Linked DNA regions of Lytechinus pictus. Each later gene encodes a partner of the first gene's protein in a complex. Links are inferred from orthologs where the notes say so. Each region holds a gene or a part of one and is shown on either strand. Other genes may lie near its edges. The genes, in order: PRELI domain-containing protein 1, mitochondrial-like; TP53-regulated inhibitor of apoptosis 1-like.

The links.
Region 2: the proteins of PRELI domain-containing protein 1, mitochondrial-like (region 1) and TP53-regulated inhibitor of apoptosis 1-like are in contact, whole or in part, in a crystal structure (PDB 6I3V), measured with the Homo sapiens proteins. The link is inferred for Lytechinus pictus from reciprocal best matches to the Homo sapiens genes PRELID1 and TRIAP1. Residues at the interface, in NP_037369.1 of Homo sapiens: Trp15, Asp16, Phe19, Ala20, Trp23, Gln24, Tyr26, Pro27, Val34, Leu35, Thr36, Glu37, Asp38, Ile39, Val40, His41, Arg42, Val44, Gln48, Lys49, Leu50, Leu51, Ser52, Arg53, Leu55, Thr57, Tyr79, Leu81, Asp83, Ser84; in NP_057483.1 of Homo sapiens: Met1, Asn2, Ser3, Val4, Lys12, Tyr15, Asp16, Phe19, Asn20, Trp22, Phe23, Phe27, Leu28, Gly30, Asp31, Ser32, Phe41, Tyr44, Gln45, Val48, Gln49, Ile52, Ile57, Pro58, Ile59, Leu62, Glu63, Phe64, Met65, Gly66.

The regions. Positions count from the first base shown.
Region 1 is NC_087256.1:24,312,012-24,321,308, forward strand, and holds the start of PRELI domain-containing protein 1, mitochondrial-like, read left to right. Parts: upstream 1-4,789; 5' UTR 4,790-4,890; intron 4,891-8,034; 5' UTR 8,035-8,175; coding exon 8,176-8,264; intron 8,265-9,224; coding exon 9,225-9,297. UniProt on the Homo sapiens protein: Involved in the modulation of the mitochondrial apoptotic pathway by ensuring the accumulation of cardiolipin (CL) in mitochondrial membranes.
Region 2 is NC_087246.1:5,000,886-5,010,107, forward strand, and holds the start of TP53-regulated inhibitor of apoptosis 1-like, read left to right. Parts: upstream 1-5,336; 5' UTR 5,337-5,427; intron 5,428-8,037; 5' UTR 8,038-8,049; coding exon 8,050-8,193; intron 8,194-9,222. UniProt on the Homo sapiens protein: Involved in the modulation of the mitochondrial apoptotic pathway by ensuring the accumulation of cardiolipin (CL) in mitochondrial membranes.

The DNA.
Region 1 (9,297 bases):
ATGATTAACGAACCTTATTTCGTTTTCGGACTTACGAACCTTCGGAACAACGAACCTTATTTCGTTTTCGGATCAACGAACCTTCGGAACAACGAACCTTATTTCGTTTTCGGATTGACGAACCTTCGGAACATCGAACCTTATTTCGTTTTCGGATTATCGAACCTTCGGAATAACGCCACAAATGTTCGGATTAACGAACCCTTTTACGTTTTCGGATTAACGAACATCGAGGTATGGGCAATTTACGTGTTTCGGAATTACGAACCTTCGGAATTACGAAGTGTAAAAGGTATAAACAGTTAGTCCATAGAAAGGATCCAAATCAGAGTCCTACGTACTAATCCAAAATGGCGATGGTAAAGACTCCGTCAATTGTAGTCCACAATGCTGGCGATGATGAAAGTGATGTTGAATTGCGATGGGTGATCACAGTCACTGTACTGAGCTAAACTGTTACAGTACTAAAATGTATGCCTGAGGATTAAGTTGATGATAAACAGTTGATTTCAGCAACTCATTGGTTGATAAAAACGTTCTAAAGAGGTTGATGGTCATGTACTGTTAATTCCGGCCTCTCTTAAAAAATAGTTGCTAACAGTTAGGTTAAGAAATGAGAATAATTCCTCAGAAACTAAATAATACTTGATTCCACATGCATAAACATGATAACGGTAAACTATGCACGGAGATAAATTCTTGGCTCCTAAATTCTGAAATTCCAGAAGGATGTCTTAGCCTTTTTATATCAATTTCAAATTTTCTAGAAGCTTCTTCCAAATTCATCTAAAATAAGAGGAGGATTTGACAAAGGCCACTGCTAAAACAATCTCTCGAGTTATGAACAACCAAATGAATAAAATAATTCTCTTAAAATCCTTCTTTTGTGTCACACGAATTTTATAGAAGCTTTTAAATTTATCTAAAAGAACAACATTTTCTATTCTTCTTGACAAATCCACTGTTAAAACAATTTCTGGAGTTATGGACAACCAAAACTTTCTTACGACAGTTTGACACCTTGTGTCTAGATATACCTCAGTCACATTTCCCCTACGGCGGCCGTACGGCGAGTCGAAAACATTATTTTTTCAAACCACCTGTAAAATGTTAAAACGGCTGTTTTCGACTCGCCAAACGGCCGCCATGAGGAAATTGTGACTGCGCTATATAATTGTTAGCCAATATTCGGGGTGACGGTCCTTAATTGTGTGACTAGGCGCGTCTATAGGTCTAGTGGTTCTGACATTCGAATCCTAGCCATGGCGTGTTTTCCTTCAGCAAGAAATTTATCCACACTGCAGCTGCACTCGACCCAGATGAGGTGAATGGGTACCCGGCAGGATTAATTCCTTGCATGCACTGAGCACCGGTGATGGTAGCTCGAGCTAAAGCCGGGGTGCGGAATAAAGCACTTTGTATCCTCAGGCACAAAGCGCTATATAAATCCAGCTATTGTTATTATTATTATTTCTATCTCAATAGTATAGTATAATTTTCTAAATTATTCATTTCATATCTATGTCTTTTAAACTATTTCCTAAAAAATAAATGTCAATGTAAACCCCAATTGATTTGACATTGTAATCATTTGGCTTTATGTGTTGATATATTTACTCATTTATAAATATGAAGAATTGATATGAATGAAAGTATGTACGATGACAATGATTTTGGTGAAGAGTTTGCCTATTAGTTGAATGTTATTTGAATGTTAAACTCGCGTGTGGGGCATGTATCGAGATTTCCAGAAAAATAGGGGTCATACCCTAATGCGCCTAATTTATTGGGTTTTTTTTTTAAATCTATTTATTTCATTTTTTTTGGGAGGGACGAGTATGTGTGTCTCATCTGTGTTAATTGACACCAGTGGTCCAAAGGGCACGTACGTTTTATTGAATAAAACTCAATATTATATGTACATATATATGTAAATATATATATATATATATATATATATATATATATATATATATATATATATCAGAAATATATATACATCAGAAATGCGAAACAAATTCACGAGTAATGCAGTTTTTGAAGTGCCAACAATTAAGTTCTTTTATTCACTCTCCAAATTTTCGGTAGACATCTACCTTCTTCAGGGAAGATTCGTGAATTCTTCCCTGAAGAAGGTAGATGTCTACCGAAAATTTGGAGAGTGAATAAAAGAACTTAATTGTTGGCACTTCAAAAACTGCATTACTCGTGAATTTGTTTCGCATTTCTGATGTCTTATTATTATTATTGCCAATACGTGGAAAACCAAGATGCTTATATATATATATATAATTATATATACATACATATGTATACATTATATATATATATACGCCTGTAATCACCCCCATCAGTATAGGCATGGACCTGTAGTAGGTCCATGGTACAGGCGACTGAAGAACATGATCTCTAACTAATGAAGAAAAACCAAATCACAGTCTTCAAGGAATATGCAAACATAATTAGCCTAAAAAGATCTCAACAGATCTGCAGTTATATATTTTGATTACGAAATCAAAGTTTAGCAATTAAGGACGTTCCACAGTTATGTTTGTGCGCATTATGATCTGCGCATAGTTTACACTCTGCGCGCTGACGTCACAATGGATGAACAGGTGATTGATTAGCTGCGGGTATGAGCTGATTTTTCTCATATTCTGCACTTTAACTGCAGATCCGATGCGTTATTTCATGAAGCTAAAAATGGAATTATTCCATGGACCATTAAAAAAAAATTTCTACAATTTCAAAATACTTTACTCTGCATTGCTGCCAAGAATCAGGAATATTACCCCGAGTTTGAATAAATGGTAGAGTGGTTTTGATTTTTTCTTCACATAGATACAAAGCATTCGGCGCATTTTTGGTGTTTTAAAAAGCACATTTGCTCTAATAAAAATGCTAATAGTTTAAAAACAAGCACATGGACCCCTATTTTTTAAAGTTTGTACCTGTTAGGTATACCTTCCTCTACAACTCTGCAAATTTTGGTGAAAATGACATGGATTTTGAATAAAGTGCAGCATTTATTGTACGTTTGTAGTTTGTTACTAAAATTTTACATTTTTTAGATTGGGGTTTTGTTATAGTTTCCGCCTTTTTTTAAGAACTGCCAGCGCTGTTAAACTTAAAATTGAAAACAAATAGCACTTTAACTAGATTCTCCTTTCGAACGATACAATTATTAACTCTTTTGCGAAATTTGATGACTTTTTCATGTATTTTGACTGAGTAATAGAGGTTTAAACTCATTGTAGTAATCTTGGGCGGTCTAAAAATGCCAAATTCTTTTGAATGCGCAATTCTTAAGAACATCAATTTGGGTGAACTTTGAAGCTCTATAGCAAAAAATCAAGCACATGGACCTATGTTAATTTTTGCATATTTCGAATATTAAGGTTCTAAAGTATCTATGTGCAAAGTTTGGTGAAAATGACATGGATTTCACTTTAACTGTGGAACGTCCTTAAGCGAACTTTTGATAACACCCCCACCCGCAAAATATCAACAACAACAACAAAAGAGAACTGTAAAGATATCTGACGCCCATGTATTATCTCCTTTACTTTAGAGGGGGGAACTAGAGGTAGGATAGTCATGCACTGCGCCCTGGGCACAGATTTTTGTTTCAAGTTTTTTTTTTCTTTTTTTGTTAACATGACAAACGGGTTTCCCTATGTGAGCACGCGTAAAGCGTACTATATTATCCCGGGCACTTTCACAGGATAGGCCTACAAAAGGTTTCATAGGCGATTCAGACTGAATAAGGTCCCCCGGCCCCCCCCCCCCCCCCCCCCCACCCGTCAAGTTTCAAGCACACGTACTTTAAGCGTATTTCCCCGGGTATAGGCCCTACCTTAATCTGAGGATTCAAACGAGCCATTTATAGGGGGAGGGGGACATTGCTCCAGGAACAAGTTTCAGGGGGATAAAAAAAGTTTAGGCTGACAGACTACTATGTATAAGACACCGGCATATGGAAACCCCCATGCACCCTCCTCCCCCCCCCCCCCACCCCCATCTACAGCTAGTGACCACCTTCAAGGGCAACCTGAAAACATACCATGTATAAGAGTGTTTTTTGATAGATATTGACTTATTGTTCAGACATGTATTATATGTAAATAATTTTGTTGTTCTGCTCTGAAGCGCCTTGAGCATCTAATCAAGATGGAAAGTGCGCTATATAAATCTCATGTATTATTTATTATTATTACAATGCTGGATTCACCCCTATGCGTATAAGCCCACTCTGTATGCTGACAGTGATATACATGTAGATCGAGTGATTTCATCAACATGATGAAATATTTCCCAAAATCGGATAAATATCATATTGATATTTTACTTTATCAATAAATTTATGCAATGAGTATATGACGAGCTTTCTTCTTCTAGATCCGGCCTCTTAATCCTCCTTTTTTTTTTCTTTTTTTCCTCTTCATCTTCTCCTTCGTCTCTTTTCTTCGTCTCGATCCTTCGCTCTTCCTCTTTCTTCTTCTTCTTCTGAATTCTTCTTCTTCTCCTCCTCCTCCTCCTCCTCCTCCTCTTCCTCGATCATCCTCCTCCGTCTTCTTCTTCTTCTTAATTCTTCTTCTTCTTCTTAATTCTTCTTCTAATTCTTCTTCTTCTTCGATCTTCTTCTTCTTCTTCGATCTTCTTCGTCTTCTCCGATCATCTTCTTCTCCTTCTCTTCTTCCTCTTTTTGCAGACTATACAACTATTACTAAAAACCGTTTAAAAAAAATTAGTATCAATGCAAAAATAATCGTACGTGCAAAATTTAGCTACTTTTATGACGTCACTGGTTCCATGCAAGATTCGTCGCGTCGTCGCTCCCATCCCATTTTGTCTATTTAATGGAACAAAGTTGCCTTTTAGAAATGAGAAGTAAGTTTGCCGTAAGTTTCATTATTATATTTGAATAATCAAGTAGTCTGTTATTTGATGAAATATTTTCTATTCTGCTTTCCCTACATGATGATGATATTTTGGCACGTGAAGAGTGCAGTAATTGTTGTGTAGTCCCAGATGCTGAAATGTGAGTATGGTACTACCGGTACTTGTCTGTCGATGCTTCCTAATAATCCTATCCTCGCATGTTGTGTGAGTGGGCCTAGCCTAACGTCGTTAAGGCTAAGTAAAGGACTCCGTGATACATGTATTTCATCATATTTATATGTTATATAATTTATATATTGGCCATATAACCTTGTTCGTAGGATGAGTGGGTATAACATAATTTGTGCATGTGCATTGTCATTGATTGATTTTTAAAATGATCACAAAAGTAGAAAAGACCAATCTAACTCAATCAACAATTTCTCAGTTTTTTTTATGTGTGTGTGCATTGAAATTTGGGTCATGCGGGAACTGCTAAGGTATTCCACAATAATAATATAATCAAAATGTATGTAATTTTCACCAAGTTTTGCACAGAGTTACCATTGCATTGATTGGTTTTATAAAATAGGTGTATTACTATTATTTCAAATTCAAGCATCGCGATTGGCTAATACGCGTCACATAACATCCAACTTTTTGTGTGCAATGCACGGCAGTGCAAAAGGTGCGCAACGAAAATTGACATTGCACGCTCAAGCAGACCACTGCAGTACTGTACTGTGACTTTTTAAGGATTTGTTTCTGTGTTGCTATTTTATAAAACAAATAATGCACTTGCTCTGTCGTGCGTAATAAGTAAATGCAGAGAAAGCTCGGTTTCTTCAGATGGTGCACACTGGGCACTCGCCGCCAGCTGCTCGTGCACAGTGCGGCACCTATCTAAAGAAACCTTGCGTGCTCTGCATTTCCACTAACGCCCTCGGCTGCATGCATTATTTGTAAATTGTATAACGTTAGCATGCGCACCAGTCTTACTCTTAGGATACATGTATTTGCAAAAAATTGAAATGGGTTCATCTTGAGCTTGATTTTTTTGCTATCGAGCTTTTAACTCTACCCAATTGAAACGTCTCTATATTTTTATTGCGCATTCAAAAGAATTCGGCATTTTATCTATGTGAGGAAATGTTCTAAACCACTCCACCATTTATTCGAGGTCATATTCATCATACTTTGCAGCACTTGATATAAGAGTAAAGTGTTCAAAAATTATATTAAAAAACATTGTTCTGTAGATTATTTTCAGCTAATAATTAGCTACAAATCGGATCTGCAGTTAGATTGCAAAACATACAGTGAAAAATCAGCTGATACCTACATGTATAGCTGATTAGTCGTAATTGCATGTTCCTTTATTATGATGTCAAGTGTGCATAGCGAAGCATCTACATGTACTAGCGTACAATATGCGCACAAACACTATACAAGTTAATGCCAACTGCTTCTCGGGAATTGTGCGAAAAAGAGTTAATGTCAATTATGTTTCTGATGGATATCTTGATAGATATTTGAATTCATGAAACGAAAGGAAACTTTTAAAAGGTGATATGTAAAAACAAAAAAACAGGGGACAACATTTTTTAGTCAAAGCACTATGCTTCTCAGGCGACGATATATCAGAGTGTGACTTTAAAATTTCTTTGTTTTAAAGATAAAGGGGATGCAAATTACCATAAATGTTCTGTTTGCATGAAATTTGGCCCATTTTACTGTATAAAATCATGATAATTTGGTCAATTTGTAGTCCAAAACGATACTTGACATGTGTGTCACATTTTCAAATGGCAATCAACTCAAAACAAGTCAGGCATCAATTAATTTTTAACATGAGAATTTCCAGATGTTTCAAAATACTCTTCAGAAACTTTTATCAAAATCTGCCGAGTATCCTCTAAGGAAATTACAGACAAATATACAGTAATGTCAGGAATCTACAATAGTGTCGCGTCACGCGAATCACAACAAACAAATTGAAATATCTCCTACAAAAACACTGTAAATTCAAAATTTTTGTTGGACAATGTGTATTAATACTTTAATTGAAATGAATAGAAACAAGTTGATCTTGAGAAGTTGAAATTTTGTGTGAATGTCACGCGATTCACACTGGAATGGCTGTGTGACTCTTAGTTACTCCACATCCATTATGACTCTTATTCATCAGGGCTGTTAACATTAGAGGTTAGCGAAATGTAGAAGTAGATCACCACTTTTTGTTTGATACACTACTTTTCAATTGGTCACATGACACGTATGTCCCCCCTCAGACAGCAACATTCCATGTTCATGGAATATAAGGCAAAATCCCAGGGGGGGGGGCCACTTCCATTGACGGGTGTATACCACCTGTGACCAAAGAAACACCTAAAAAGGATCCCTTTTTCAAGATAAGGCATGTTACGTACATAACGTAATACATGTAAGGGTGTCAAAAATGCTTAAATATTAATGAAAAGTATATATTTCGCAAGGAAAGCTACGTGTTTACAGTCCAATTTGCGAGGGTATAAAAAGACTAAAATGCTTTTATAAAAGATGTACTTTTTGCACCAACACTACGTGTTAAGGGTCCTATTGGAGATGGGGTGTTCCCGGGGAAACTTGCACATAAGCTGTTTGTTTGTTTGCTTTTCTGATGTAATTGTAACTCAAATGTGCATGTACTAGAAAAAGGATTGCTGCTAATGCTGGGGCTGTTAAACTATAGCTGTACTTGTTTAGGGGGTCAAAGTAAGGGAATACTTGTCAAGGGTACCGTTTTGTTTCCAAAACCTGTTAAGGGTAGGGTTTCACATGCCAATACTTGTTAACCCTTTCCACGCGTACTTCGCACCAATGCACACTCGGTGCCGTGCGAACTTCACATTTCACACTCAACAAACAAAGCATTATTTCCCTCCCTGAAAATAATTCAGTACAGATGGGTTCATGGTCCAGCGCACAAAGAGTTAAGGGGTGCATTTTCAGAACATGGAAAATACGTGTTTAGGGTGCATTTTGAAACACCATGGTCATGTGTGGTATCCACTCGTCAGTGGAAATGTCCCCCTCCCCCCCCCCCCCCCCCCCCGGGGGATATACTGAGATGTAGTACATTGCTTTTTCATGATTCTTCTGATTCATCTATAGAATTGTGATGAAAAAAAAGTCCTCAAGGCTGAAGGGAATTCTGACGCATATGCTGTGGAGTGTGGACGCAACCAGCCTCTCCTCTGAACAACTTGTATTTTCAAGAAAGCCTGTGATCCTCCTTCACTCGGGTCCAGAGAAATGAAGCACTTCACTGCTGCTACTACCTTCAAACACTCATGGGACCAAGTCTCCTCAGCTTTCTGGCAAAAATACCCTGGACCATACAGGTAAATACATTGGCCTGTATTCTAAAATCAGGTCCAACTTAGGCCATGGTCTTAGTCTGGGCTAAACTTATGGAAAGCCACAAGTGCCAAGAATTTGTTTACACTGTAATGCTTCTTGTGTTTACTGGGGTCCTTATTGGTTTAATGGGGAAGGAAACTATTTCATTTATCATTTCAAGAATTTGTCAATGATTTGAATGCGTAATAATGTGATGATCACCTAATTCTAGAGATTGATACCACTTTGGGCTTTTCATAGTAAACCGCAACCAACTGGTTGAAGTTAAAGCAGAGTTCAGAATACGGGTCATTGATGATTACCACTAAGAGCAACCCTAACCTTTCAAAATTCAAAACATGGATAAACTTGAATAATTACCCATGCTGGCACCATGTGCTGATTGGTTTGCTCACCGATTGTTTTCAGATACAAAACAAATACATGAAGAAAATTAAATTCACAATTTATCTGGGGTCTTGGAGACATAACACTTGTATTGGTAAAGTAATAATTGGACAAATAGGTGGTACTGGTCAGCTGCTTATTCTGCAGCTAGATATAAAATTATATAACTGATGTTGATTTTTTTTCCTGTATATGTAGCATTGGTTAATAAATTAGGGTCATTCTCAGAAAGGGTCTTGTTTCATGGAAAATATGTCTAAACTAGAGGAGGGTAATTGTGTTTTTTTTTCTCTTTCTTTTTTTTTGAGTTGTGACCAGCCATGATTTTTTCTGTAGAGACCAGTCGACCACTAAAATACATAAAGATAGTTGTTGATCAAAAAAACAAAACTATGAATATCAACCACTTCAAGGCTTTTATTTCTGTAAAAAGAAATATAACTTCCATTAAAGGTAGTGATATTTTCCGTGATGTTCGTGACTTTTTTTCTCATATAGTTTCAATGTTGTCTGTAATAATGCTTTACTTTCCAGTCCTTTGTTATTGTTTTCAGTAAACATGTGCTGTCTGAAGACGTTGTATCCCGCTACCTCAGCCCAGACTCCAAGCTTCACAGCATACGCCTC
Region 2 (9,222 bases), on another chromosome or scaffold:
AAATTAGCCAATAATTTGATTGAATTCAATTTTCCAATCAAATACAAATGAAATTCAAAACTATTTAAGATCATCAAAATAGTTCCAATTGACCCGTTGCCATAGTACCGGCTCATTTTCCCCCAGAAAAGTACAAATTTTGATTTTAAGTTGTAGAATCAGTTTTTTGTTTCATTTTCCCTGCGTTTAGGGTGTGATAAACAGAGGAGTGATTTTTTTCTATATGTATAAATACAATCTCATTCCATTGCCATGGCAACCAAGTGATACCTAATTTGGTAAAATAAGAAATAACATGGTAAAAAAAGATAATGGCGGGAAATACAATAAAACCGACCTAATCTATATGCGTTGGGTTTTATTTATAACAAAAACTACAGTAAGTGTTCTGCATGAGTTTATTGGAATGATAGGAACTGATGTTGCCTTGACAATGCTTGAATGTAAAGATAGATATCAATATTTCAAATGGCCCGTTGCCATGGTAACAGCTTATTTTATTCAGAAAAGTATACATTTGATAAAAACATTATAGAATCTGATTTTCTTTCATTCTAGGGTGCTCAACATAATATGCTTGATAATGTAAAAATACCACCTCGGGCCATTTTCAATGTATAGGCCTATAATCATATCGACATAATTATGTACTCAAATACTGGACAATTTTTTAAGAAAAATGGTTCTTAGTGCTATTCTGCATGAAATCCAGTAATGTAACTCCAAAATGACCGCAGTCATTCTGAGTAAAGTGATTTGGGTGTTTTGTGCTAAAAAGAGTTCAACATAAAGGGGGATATACACTTAATAAATGAAAATTTAAAACTATATCAGGAGGTGATGTAGTCTTGACCTCCTAATCAGAGATTATTGCCATTGAGGTAAAAATAACTTAGAATTCTTTTATTAAATGAATGGGTTTTTCATGAAAGTCCCACATTGAGTCTAAAAATGAAAGAATTTTACCTAATTATCCTCAAAAGGTCAATTATATCTAATAGGAGGGCAGGATTACGTCCATTCGCCAAATGAACTTTGGCGTTATATTATCTTGAACAGCTTTCTAAAAAAAAAAAAATACATGCATTTTAACATTTATAGCACTTCTTCATAAAATCGGACTCTATTTTTTTTTCAATTTATTCTGTTCTTGTCTAAAATGAGCCGTAACCAACCATGGCACCGGGCCATTTGCAACATTTATATTTATAAATACATTGTACAATGAAGCGTTGCCAAGGGAACATCAAATTGCATCTTTCTGATGAATCCATGCAGAATACTTACCGTAAGTTTTGACGCATGTAGATTAGGTCGTTTTTACATCACAGAATTAACTTTTTCTACATGTTATATTTTTACCAAATAAGTTGGTATTTGGTTGCCATGGCAATGGTCTGAGATGGTACTTACACATTTACCAACAATCAACCTAAGCTTATCAGAAATGAAAGGGAAAAATGCGACTTTACATGCCTTTATCATTTTACCTCAATGGTTCAAAGTAGAGCAACAAGACTATTTCCAGGATTTAGATAGAATCTTATAGTGTTAAACTGAATCTGTACTCCTTACCGCATAGAACGAGGGGACGTAGTCCAGGATAGGCCCCATAGACAAGGGGTCGAACCTTGTTTTTTTAGATATACAATGTTTTTTGATGGTTTCTTGTCAATTCGAGGGTGCTGATTCCGAATCTGAATGATGCCACTCTTGTAACCTTGAGCATTTTCCGCAAATTGGCAAAATCCAATATGGCCGCCAAAATATGCAAATTACCCATGAAAATCATAAAATTGCCAACACATTAGCTATAAAATGCATGTAGTTGTTGTGCAGAAGTGAAATACCAATTGGAAAAGCGATATTTGACAAAATATTTATTTTATTGATATTCAAAATGGCCGCCATAACCCCTGTATACTTTATTACTTTAGCTCGAGCTAAAGCCGGGGTAATAATAGCAGCGCTTTGTATCCTCTGGCAAAAAGCGCTTAATAAATCCAACTATTATTATTATTATTATTATGTAGAATATGAATGGGGAAAATATTTTTTCAAACAAGAACACTATTATTGCATGTGATTGTGACCTGCGAGTGGACTACTGTCTGAAAACATGACTATTAACAAAACTATGTCATTTGTATACTATCTAATGTGATAAATGCTGTATTATGATATTCAAAATGGCTGTCATTATAGACCCCTTATACTGTGTACAATATATAAAAGGGGACAAATAATTTTCACAACCTTTGAATTTGTTTGACTTTAAAATGCCAATAACTGCGAAATATTGGTGTAACACTGTCTGACAACAAGGATTTCTAACGAAACATATCATTTCCCTTGCAATTTCGGTAATTATGCTGCATGTTGACATTCAAAATGGCTGCCATAGGCCCTATCTGTATTATGAACAAAGCGAATAAAGAAACTAATTTTTACAAGAGTAAAAACAATAAAATGAATGTAATTGTAATCTATACGAGTGAAATATTGTCTAAACACATGATTTCTGGCGAAACATATCATTTAATTTTTCATGCATGAGATAAATGCTGTATTGTAAAATTCAAAATGGCCCCTATGGGCCCTTACAGTATTATCTACAATGTAAATGGGGACAAATACTTTTGAAAGAATTAGGATTTGCCTGACTATGAAATCCATATAATTCTGTTGTATAAGGAAAATATTGTTTGAAAACGTGATTTTTTTAATGAAATATAACATTTCCTCTCCCATAGGTGATAAATACTGTATTTTGACTTTCAAAACGGCCGCACAAGCCCCTACAAATTCTGTAACATGCGTATAGGGAAACTAATCATCACCAGAATGAGAACCAAAAACGCACGTAACTATGTGATGTATAGGTAAAATTTGGTCTTGAACATGATTTCTGACTAAATACATCACATAATGATTGAGAAGGTAATAAAGGCCTTACTTTGAAATTCAAAATTGCTGCCATAGCCCAAAGTAGTATGTACATTGTAACTGGGGACAGATAATTTTGACAAATTTTTTACTATGAAAATGGCTTAATTTTGATGTAAGTGTTAAGTATTGTCTAAACCCAATGATTTCTAACGAAATATATCATAGCTTGTGTCATAAAGGTGATGAATGCAGCCTTTTAAAAATGAAAAATGGCCGCCATAGTCCCTTATCTTAATATGTAAAATTTGAATGGGGAAAGATAATTTCCACAAAGAAACATATTGCAGCCATTTTGAAATTTAAATATAGCATTTATCACCTAAATAACATAAGAAATGATCTATTTGGTTACAAAATCATATTTTCAGACGATATTTCACTCATACATGCAACACCATTTAGTCAAGCAAAGCCAAATTCTGTTAAAATTATATGTTCCCATTCACAAAGTACATAATAGGCCTACTGTTATGGCCTGTAGCGGTCATTTTGACTTTCAAAATACATTATTTATCACCTACCTGGCAGAATGAATGATATATCTTGTTAGGAATTATGTTTTCAGACAATATTTTACTCTTAAATCACAATTATATGCATGTTATGGTGCTGACTCATGTGAAAATTGGTTTCCCAGATCGATTGTACATAATACAGTCAATGTCTTTTGGCGGCCATTTTGAAAGTCAAAATACAATATTTAACACAAATATGAAACCCGAATAATATATTTCGTTGCAAATTATATTTGAAGACAGTATTCCACTAATTTACCACAAAAAATACGTTTTAGTGCTCACCTTGTGATTGTTTTTGTCCTCTCTCACATCGTAGATCATAATTTTAGGGCCTTTGGCGGTCATATTAAATATCAAAATACAGGGTTTATCACATACATGGCATGTTAAATAATAAATTTCGTTAACAAAAATGTTTTTAGTCAGTATTCCACTCGTTTATCTCAACAAAATGCATTTTAGTGCTCACTCTTGTGATTTTTTTGTGTCACCATTCACATTGTACATAATAGTGTTAGGGCTTTTGAAGGCCATTTTGAATATCAAAATACAGGATTTATCACATAACTGACATAACAAATGATATATATCGTTAGCAATCATGTTTACAGACATTGCTTCACTCATAGATCATAATTACTTGCATTTCAGTGCTCAATTTTGTAAAAATTAATTTTCCCCATTCATATTGTACAGGGGTCTATGATGGCGGCCATTTTGATATCAAGAAAATAAATATTTTGACAAAAATCATTTTTTCAGATATTATTTCACTCTGGCAGCACAATTGCATGTACTTTAAAGCCAATGTGTGGACAATTTTATGATTTTCATGGGTAATTTGAATATTTTGGCGGCCATATTGGATTTTGCCAATTTGCAGAAAATGCTCAAGGTTACACGAGTGGCATCATTCAGATTCGGAATCAGCACCCTCGAATTGACAAGAAACCATAAAAAAACATTGTATATATAAAAAAACAAGGTTCGACCCCTTCTATCCTGGACTAACGTGATAGAAGTATTTAAATATTGTATGGTAGAGTCGATTCAGAATCCCTCTTCAAGAGATCCCAATACCAGGGAACAAGAGGTCATCCCTTCAAACTGTTCACTACTCACTGTCGGTTGAACACCCGCAGCATTTTTTTGTCAGTAAAAGAGTGGTCCAATCTTGGAATAGTTTGCCTGCAACACTAGTAATGTCCTCCAGCATCGACTCATTTAAACACGTATACCCAGTTGTTGTGTGTCCGGACAGGTTGTGTGTCCGGACGATCAATTTTAGAAAGTCATTTGGAAAAAATTACAAGCGAAGTTTCATCAAATTTTAGTAAAAAATTTTAGAAAATATTATAGAGAACAAAATAGAAGATGATTACAACTATTGAATTCATATTTTTAGTGTAATCTTATGACAAAAAAGAAGGCTTCAAAAATATAAAGTGTCCGGACACCCGATCCCCCATCCTACGGACGGATTAGATTGTCTGACATCCACCCCGCACTGTACTTGTTAGACTTTAATTATACATCAAGTGTACGTGTTTACGACCGGGAGATAGATCTACAGGCCCGCTCTACAGGACTACCTACACTCCCGTACAGATGATGATGATGATGATAGACTCATTGGACTCTTTTAAATCCAAAATTACTCAAAAACCTAGTAAGTAAGTGACCTGCTAACTTGGTGATCTCACACTCATCATCAATAAAGTTGGCGGAGTACAGCAAGTCTGCATATGCCATAGAGATGTATACTAATTATATGGCATATGCCCAGACAAGACAAGATGATCTGCTTTCATTTATCAATTCAAATTTATTTGTAATTTGATTCGTTGATTGTACCATACTCCGGTAAGGACTTTCGGTAGCTATCAAGGGAGAAATCGTCGAATTCTGAGACTGCGGAGGCTCATGTGTAACATCAAACCTCCTGAAATCGTAGCCATAGGTAAGTCATACAAAAATCGACATCTTTTTAAATAATTTGCCAGAGGTTACTAAGCCATGGCCCATGGCATGCATGGCCAGCTTGATCACGTTTACACACTACAGTCCCATTCGCTTAATATTGTGTTTCTGTTCTTTGTTCTCCCACTCCCAGCCAGGCAGTGACCGATGACCAGGCATAGTTAGTATGGTAGTACGGTACTAGTAGATCGTATTACCGTCACCGAACACTTTTCATGAATTTAATCATATCAAACACATTATTCTCATAAAATTCACCAAACTTTCTACATAAATACACAATTACCTACAAGATATAAATATGTAAAAATTTTGCCGAAATTGTTTAGGCCTATCCCTTTTACGATATTACTTAGCTTCCAATCGGACCCCTCTTCGGATGTGAAATATTTTGGTCACTTGAAAAAGGTATCGTATTACCGAACGTGTGTTTTCTATGGGAAAAGTTGAGAAAACAACAAAATCACCGATGAGCCATTTTGACCATATTTTTTTATTATTTTTAGAATATTAAGACTTTGAAAATGTGTTTTTGACCATTTTTCATCATCTTTTTATTCAATTATTGAACTTTGAAGTTCCCCTTGGAAGGATGTTGCAAAGTTTTAGTCTCATGAAATTATTTTCTGACGCGTACGATGCGCGCGTTCGGTAATACAATGCCGGTCGGTAATACAATCACTCACTATACACGTAGCCAGGCGGCTTCTTGAGAGTAAAAATCATTTACTAACGTATGCTTACTCTCAATGAAGCCAGGGATTCCTTCCTATTCATCTGCGTGTACCGCCAAAAAACCTGATACTTTCGCCCCTGAGATTTCTACTTTCCTTCTAAAACATCTAGCCATAACTTTAAGCCAGGCATAAATCATGCCCTGTACATCACTTAGGCCTACATGAGATAAAACTTCATTTCCGACATTTCTACGCTCTCGGTTTTATTTTTAAACAAGAATTCATTAAAAAAATGAGAAAAATATTGTGAAAAGACGGAAGAGACTTGCCCGATGTTTACGCCGCCATCTTGTTTCCTATTGTACTTCCCCAACGTTACGGACACGTGCGTCGCTAAAAATGAGCTTGCGCTAGTGATGTTTTTTATTTGATCGAATGGAGTAGAGTGCGGTCACGATGTTTGGATTGTCATGATTATAGCTAAGTGGGGTTGAGATCGTGTTTTGTGGCTAGAAAGTATTTGTATTTTGTTGAGATTTTGGAGTAACTGTTCCCTGCAGTTTGAGGAAAAATATGTTTTCCTTGATTTTCCGTTTGAAAAGCCACTTTCTAAAGGCCGTTTCTGTGAATTCCATGAAATCGCGGAAAATCACTGTGTCCCTACATAATAGCGGGAATAAGCGGGTATTATCGACAACGAGAGAAAGGTTATTGATATCGCTAAGTGGCAAAAAACAAGCGATTATCGACAGGACTAGCGATAAAGACGTTATCGATAACAGGATTAACAGCCCTATTGAAAACTACATTTAGTGTTTAAAGGGGAATTCCACCCAGACAAAAAGTTGATTTGAATAAAAAGAGAAAATATTCAAATGAACACTGAAAATTCAATTAAAATTGGATGTGAAATAATTTTTTTTAATTTAAGTTTTGCTTATTCCCAAAACAGTTATCTGCACAACTCATTGATTTGAAAATGAGAGAATAACATTTATTATTTCTTTTTTTATTTGTTGTTTGAAGTATGAAATATTATTATCTCATGATTATCAAGTTTTATTTCTTTCCAAACAATCATGAAGAGGGTCCTTATTGTCAAACCTGTAAAAATTGAAATATATAAGTTAGACAATAAAAAAAACACTTGTGTGACATAATCAGTCCTCTCTTTTGCCTATCACTGAGTTGTGCATACAATTATATAACTCTTTTTTGTGAAAAAAATAAGTGAAACTTGAAATGTCATAACTTTCTTAATTCACATCTGATTTGATGGAATTGTCAGCATTGTGCTCTATTGATTGGAATCAATATTTTCTGAGGTGGACTTGTCATTTGATTTTGTTATAATTTCAGAATATTTGTAGCCACCCTATAGTTTCCTTATATATCAAATCATTAAATTTGAAAGTTACAGTGTTTAAAGTTTTCTTTTGAAAGAAAAATAAATGTAGTACTGAGAGAGGGTGCTAAAAGATCAACTGCTGAAGTGAAAAATAGGTCCCAGTGGACCCTATGCTATTTTGTAATGTTGGAATGTTAAATGTTACTTGAGTATCATACTGGGCCTTACCAAAGATTTAGATGGCCTTTGATATACATGTTTTAATGTCTTTTACTTTGAAGCACTTGACCCGAAACAAAAACATCTCTAAAGAATAGTGAGATGAAAAAATAATTTATTCAAGGCCCTCGCCCACTGGGGTTCTGATATCTGGCCAACATAGCACCACACATTGTGCATTTAATGGGTCTAGACAGTGGTGACAATGTCTATTATGATGTCACAATTTGAATAGTATTTTCTTTGACCATACAGCCATTTTCTTTGGGGGGGGGAGGGGGTGACCAACCAAGGCATAAAATAATGCTATGTAATGTACACTGTATATATTGTTTATCTCCTTCAGACAATCTAAAAAATGAATAGCCTGAGTCCTGACTGTACAGAATTAAAACATGCATATGATGCATGCTTCAACAATTGGTTCAGTGAAAAGTTCCTGAAAGGAGACTCAAAAGATGCATGTGGGGATCTTTTCAGGAAATATCAGGAGTGTGTCAAGGTCGGTATAGTGTACATTTAATTAAAATCAATGTTATTTCTTTGATGACATTTCTGGATATCAGTATTTATTTATTTACTCTTTGTTGTTGTGTCATTAATAGTAATACAGCCTTAATTTTCAATATTTGTATGGCACAGTGAATTTTCAGATGGGAAAATTTACAAGCAGTGTTATTTTGTGTAGAAGATGTAATATTCTAGTCTTTCTACTTCTATGATTTACTTACTTTTGCATCTAGTGGCATCCCTGCCCCTTAATTTGTTGCAAAAATAATCACCTACAATATCGTTATAATTATGTTTGTTATAGGTCTACTGATCGACAATCAGCTCATATTATTGTAGAGAATTCTCCAAGCAATTTGTGGTTAACTTACTGGCCCGTATTCTGAAGTCAGGTTAACTCTGTGCCAAAAGTGTCAAATTTTTTATTAAGTTGTATATTTCTTATGTTTACTGTGCTCTTTCCTGATTCATCGATGGTGAAGACAATCATCTTTTTATACTTCCTAGACAATTATGAATGACTTGAGAGGCAAAAGAGCTGAAATATGATATCTCTACTGTTAGTAATTTATGTAACAATTGGCTATCCATACTTAAACCACAACTTTAAACCTGGCAGTCAGTCCGCAAGCCCCTGTGTTAATGAGCAAATGAGCAAGATTTATCCAAGTCCTCTCGTGGCTGAATTCATGTCCCTGCAAAATCTCGTGAATCGTGAGACTTTCTTTCTCAAAGAATTTAACCACTTTCTCCTTGAGTAATATTGATTATTTTTGTACCATGGGCAAGAGTAAATGTTACTCTTTTATATTGGTCATTTCTTTTGAATTAGATATTTTGATAAATAAGTGAATTTTTTACCTGAAAAGATGCATCAAACAGAATTTTCTTCCTCTGTTTTCACTTGCAAATTGTGCAACATTTTGTGTTTTAGGCACCAACATTATTTATATCATCAGAAAGCTCGAACTCTATACTTTCTTACAATGTCACTCTTGATATGTGGCATCTTTTAGATGGG